Linked DNA regions of Canis lupus familiaris. The protein of the gene in region 2 interacts with the protein of the main gene of each other region in a biochemical or structural test. Links are inferred from orthologs where the notes say so. Each region holds a gene or a part of one and is shown on either strand. Other genes may lie near its edges.

Evidence for each region. The genes of interacting proteins can lie anywhere in the genome.
Region 1: of the proteins of RACK1 (region 2) and PRKAA1, one has a biochemical effect on the other in vitro, tested with the Homo sapiens proteins (2 studies listed by BioGRID). The link is inferred for Canis lupus familiaris from reciprocal best matches to the Homo sapiens genes RACK1 and PRKAA1.

Annotation. Positions count from the first base shown.
Region 1 is NC_049225.1:69,524,483-69,528,139, reverse strand, and holds part of PRKAA1 (5'-AMP-activated protein kinase catalytic subunit alpha-1), read right to left. Parts: intron 3,560-3,657; coding exon 3,335-3,559; intron 1,989-3,334; coding exon 1,502-1,988; intron 1,384-1,501; coding exon 1,257-1,383; intron 1-1,256. UniProt on the Homo sapiens protein: Catalytic subunit of AMP-activated protein kinase (AMPK), an energy sensor protein kinase that plays a key role in regulating cellular energy metabolism.
Region 2 is NC_049232.1:609,478-611,696, forward strand, and holds the end of RACK1 (receptor of activated protein C kinase 1), read right to left. Parts: intron 2,196-2,219; coding exon 2,085-2,195; intron 1,650-2,084; coding exon 1,509-1,649; intron 1,137-1,508; coding exon 1,026-1,136; intron 701-1,025; coding exon 635-700; 3' UTR 593-634; downstream 1-592. UniProt on the Homo sapiens protein: Scaffolding protein involved in the recruitment, assembly and/or regulation of a variety of signaling molecules. Interacts with a wide variety of proteins and plays a role in many cellular processes.

The DNA.
Region 1 (3,657 bases), on a different chromosome or scaffold from region 2:
CAAAGACATATTTTCTGAGTACTGGTTTCCATTTTCAAACTATTAAAACAGTAAAACAGTATTTAATGTTTCTTTAAAAAAATTTGAGGAGGTACTTTAAAGATTGTATACTGCAGTAAGGTCATCATTTTGATGACCAATTAAAATACCCAACTTAAAAAGTCTGAATATTTCAGTGATTTGATCATCAGATTGTCTCTGATTGTTTATGACTGTAGGTAAATAGAAATGCACAACAGTCTAAAGTTAAGGTTAACAATGTCATTTTTAACTAATTATGACAGTTATCTTGAACATAAGATGCTTTAGTCCCAGGAATCCTTATAAAGTGCATTCATATAAAAGTGATTACTTAAGAACACTTTACTAAGAGGTAGATAAAATTGGAATCATGTAGCTCTCACAAAACTCATAAAGGATGGGTATCTCTGATATGTGTCTAGTGTCAGGCTGGGAGCAAAAGGCTGGGTGAGAGGAGAAAAATAAGCATAAGTCCCTAAACTATCCAAAACATTTCTCCCTCAGTCCCCAGCAAGAAACTTTACTTGACAAATAATTCCTTGTCCTATAAGCAACTAACCAAATCTGTTCACACTGCCTTATCAATCAACTCTAAAAGCTAATGGTACTTTAATTCTTGAATGAAAACAAAATTAAATATCAGATATAAAAATATTTAATAAAAAGTCAACATTTATTTCTAAATAAAACATTTTCTTACCAAATGAACCATACCAAAAAAAAAAAAAAAAAACAAAACAGGAATGTGGCAGAAACTATCCCTTTAGGACCAGACTGCATCTGGCTTTAAGATAATCTTTTTTTGTTTTTTTTTAAAGATTTTATATATCTATTCCTGAGAGACATACAGAGAGAGAGAGAGAGAGAGAGAGAAAGAGAGAGGGGCAGAGACATAGGCAGAGGGAGAAGCAGGCTCAATTCCATGCAGGGAGCCTGACGTGGGACTCGATCCCAGGTCTCCAGGATCACACCCTGGGCTGAAGGCAGTGCTAAACCACTGAGCCACCCGGGCTGCCCACTTTAAGATAATCTTAAAAGGACAATACACCAACATTACAAGAAAAACATGATTCACAAATGTTGACATCACAGAGGCACAAAATCACATTTTATACTCTTTCACTATTGATTACTAGGAACAATTCAAGAAGCTTCAAAAGAATCAAAGACTAAAAAGGCAAGTTAGGTAACAAGGTCTAGTATGTCTGCTATGTTGTTTTGTGGGGTGTACATACCATCGATACTACGGAAATCCAGTAAGTACGTTCTACTATCCACTTGGTATAACTGTAGACTCATTTTGGAGTAGGTGCTTGTCACAGGATTCTTCCTTCGAACACGCAAATAATAAGGGTTTACAACCTAGTGTATGGTATGAACAAAAGCAAAATCAAAATCAATTCTTCTAGAAAACAATTTATAAACTACAGGTTTGCCAAATGTGCTTATTACTACAATCAGAATGTCCTTTTTTTCTTACCTTCCATTCATAATCCAGTTGTTTAATTGCCCTACAAACTTCTGCCATGATATCATTTGGTCGACTTTGACTTCTAATTCCCAAATGCCATTTTGCTTTCCTTACACCTTGGTGCTTAGATTTCTGTGGATTTAATTCATCGAGAGTGTGGCGTGCCCTAGGTGTTTCAGCAACCAAGAATGGTACTCTTTCAGGATGGGGCCGAGTCAAATGGTGATCATCGAGAAAAGAATCAGGTGGGCTTGTTGCCAAGTAAAAATCTTTGGCCTCATTCATTATTCTCCTGTTATCTATTATAAGGTGGTAGGCAACTGCTAAAGGGTCCTGGTGATTTCTGTTATAAAGGCAGCTGAGAACTTCCTCTTCTGAGCACTCAAATTTTTCACATACTTCTTTTAAGGCTTCATCATCAATCATAGTTGAACTATACGATGGATCCTCGGGAAAAAGGTATTTTGGAAGGTCTTGTTTAAACCATTCATGTTCCCTGAGAGAAAACAGCAGGGTCAGGAGGAGGATTTTGAGTAGAGATGAATGAGACTGCAAGCAACAGTTTGGGGAATTTAGGATATAAATTCATTTATATTTTCATTTTTTCAAACTGAGACTTTCCTCCTCTGGCTCACATTTCATTGTGTATATATACTGGAGGAAATGCTACAACCTCCCTCTGGTTTTAAGAGGGAGAAAGCAATGTTGTACCAACAGGAAAATAAATGTCTACACTTTTAAAGTTTTGGCACAAATGACAATGACAAATGATGAAGATGAGCTTATTCCCAGCTCAGAAAAAGAACATATTCTGTGATTTTAATTCTCTTTTGATATAATGTTAAGTGAAAAAACCGTAACAACAAAAACAGACAATTATCATTCATTGAATGCTTACTATAATGGTAGGTTTTACGCTAAATATTTCCAACACATTATCTCACCTCATAAAACAACTCTATGAAGATGATAATATCTCCTTATTTTTAATGAAGGAACTAAGAGTTTCCTAACTCCATATATAAAAGGACCTGAACTATGTCAAAAACTGCTAAAACTAAAAACATCAAGAAAGGAAAACACCCAAAAGAACAATAACTATCTTCTGGGTGATAAATTAAAGATCATTTTAGATCTCTATTTTTTGGGTGTTTTCTAAGTCTTTTCCAATTTAAATTGGAAAAAAAAACATGTAAAACACAAGAAAAAGCATCTTTCACTTAGATATTTAAAATTTTAAAGAATGATTTTGTCCTTTTCCATTGGTAGTTATAAGCATGCCCTTCCATATGAAACTTAGAAACCAGTAATTTCACATGTGATTCAATGTATACTACCCAAAAACCACACACATCATTGATTAAATGTCATTACTTAAGATGAACAAAAGAAAAAAAACAGTAACTCATGAGATCAGGACTCAAAGAGTGACACAGAAATTTGCTACTAGTGAAAAGCATTAATCCTAATGAGACTACATAAAAGTCAAATATGAAGCATACTACAGAAAATCTTAAAGAACAACTACAAAGGTAACATCCCAACAGGGTCCTTTTTATTCCACATTACCTACCTTTTCATATTTAAAAACTAATATTCACTGTTCCAATTTCAAAAGAAAGATGCATAAGTAAAAAGTGAAAGCCCTCCCTACTACTAATCTTCCTTCCCTAAGGTAGCTAGTTTAGTATTTTTAAATACTAAAATAAAATAAATATGCCTATGTACTATATTTTTAACATAAAAATGGCATTACATTGTATATACTGTCCAACTATTTTTTTCACTTAACTTGTATCGTTGAAACTATTAGATCTGATCATCTCCAAGTTGCATTATTACCTGATATCTTTGATTGTGGCCCTCTTCATGGGATCCACCTGGAGCATATGTTTCAAAAGGCTAATCACAGATGGATTTAAATACTGAGGGGTATAAAAGATCCCATCACATATCTTCTTAAAAAGAGTTGGCACATGATCATCATCAAATGGAAGGGTTCCACATAATAAAGCATAGAGAATAACCCCACTGCTCCATATATCTACCTCTGGACCTGCATACAATCTGTAACAGGAAATACCAATCAATTAAATAATTAGTAACTTGAGAGTTGATCAATTAATAAAAAATTTTAAATATGGATACTTCATAAAGAATTATTA
Region 2 (2,219 bases):
TAATAAATGATGCATTTCAGTGATAACTGCCTTTTGCACTGGTCACATTTGGGAAGTCCTTTTTTTTTTTTTAAACCTAGTGCAATCTTATTTCCATATTGTGATAGTCACACACACACACCCCCTGAGTGACCCAGTTTTTTAATTGGCACCCTCCCTCTTCAGGATACAGTTGAAGATCATCTGCTGATCATTGCTGTTTTGTGTATATTAATGCTCTGAGGCTTTAGGACTACAGTTTTCCTAAGACTCTTGACATTTCCCAAATCTGAGATTGTATCTTGCTGAAATACCATGATAAAATTGAAGGAAATGGAAATGGAAGATCTCTATAGGCTATTTCAAAAGTATATTACTTAGATAGCTACCACTTGAGCAAAAGCCAGGTGTGATTAAGAGTTCAAAATACTGTGTTTTATAATACTGCTTTGAGGAATTATCTGTTCAATTATTTATGTCATAAAGCTAGAACTGAGGTTTTACGATTCCTAAAGAACATTTTCTGCAAGCTTAGAGGATTTATACCTGAGACACAAGTCATTGTGATGCAATACAGCATTAGAAGGTAGCTTATCAGAGAAAAACAAACAAGTCAGAAAACCAATGTTTTATTCCTAAAGTTCTGCCATCATTTCTAGCGGGTGCCGATGGTCACCTGCCACACACGCACCAGGTTGTCGGTGTAGCCAGCAAACAGAGTCTGCAAGGGAGAAAGGACAGCGACAGGTCATGTCAGAGTCACAGAACTCTGCATTTCTAGTAAAAAGATGGCCTTTTAAGATCACCAATCCTTGAACCATCAGGTTGTAGGTGGTATGTATTCCAAGAGAAGGTAATTAATAATCACTGCTAGATCGATCAATTTTCCTTCCAATGCCAGAACATGTACTCTGTTCACTGACAGTTAATCTGGTCCTCCCAAATCAACCTGGCTAATTTTATCACTTTACTTTATGTCAAAGACACACCAAGAATAAAGGAAGAGAGAAAAGGTAGAAGCCAAGTCACTTCAGAGACTCACTTACCTGGCCATCAGCAGACCAGGCCAGAGAGGTACACTGGGGTGGCTCTGCCTTGCTGCTGGTACTGATAACTTCTTGCTTTAGTTCATCTACAATGATCTTGCCTTCCAAGTCCTGGGGAATGGGCAAAATCAGGATAAGGAGGGACTCTGCTACAGGCATCCAGTTGGGAGTAGAGGCTGAGTATGTTACTGAACAGCCTAAAATACAGGAATGCCTCCCCCTGCCCCCAGAACAGTCTAGATCAACTTGTGCTGAAGTTGAGTAAGTTGTCATCCCCCTTAGTAGACAAGTGTCTGCCACCACTGCAGATCCCAGTCTTGGAAAGCTGTTACCTTGCTCTTCCTGGATCTCCACTGCTAGCCGCATGGTTAGCAGGTATTCAGAAAGCTCAAATCCCAGCAGTGACAGATCAGGAAATCACAACATTACCAGGACTCAGAGAGTACAGCCAGGTGTTCAGCCTTAACTGTAGCCCACACTCACCCAGATCTTGATGCTGGGGCCCGTGGCAGCACATAGCCAGTATCGGTTAGGACTGAAGCATAGGGCATTGATGATGTCTCCACCATCAAGTGTATAAAGGTGCTTGCCTTCATTGAGATCCCACAGCATGGCTTGGCCATCCTGGGAAGACAGGAAAGGTGAGTCAGGGCAATATGAAACCCATTGCAGTTGTTAATCTTAACTGCCTCAAAAATTTTTTTTATTACTTAACAGTCCCCCTTCCCCCGCAAACTTCCCAAAAACTAATGAATGATTCAAATACCAATATTTATCTCTGAATGCCTTTCCTTTAATGCAGGGCACCTCACCAACCCTACGATGTCTCTGACAACTTCTAAATAAATCAGTTCTGAAAAGAACAATCAGTTCTGAAAAGAACAGTTTCAAGAAACCAGCTTTACTGAAAACAATCTTTTTCTTTAAAACAGTATGCCTTATCTATGTCATTTCCAGGAAGCAATCTTAAGATATTTATTCTTGGTTGCTACCTCAATATCTTAAATATCTTTTTAAAACAGTCCCTCACTGAGTAGTAAACTCCCAGTTTCTGAATACCTTCCCTCCAGAAGCACAGAGAGATCCATCCGGAGAGACGGTCACGGTGTTCAAGTAGCCCGTGTGGCCGATGTGATTGGTCTTCAGCTTGCAGTTTGCCAGGTTCCATACCTAGGTTTGGTAAGGTGGAGGGTA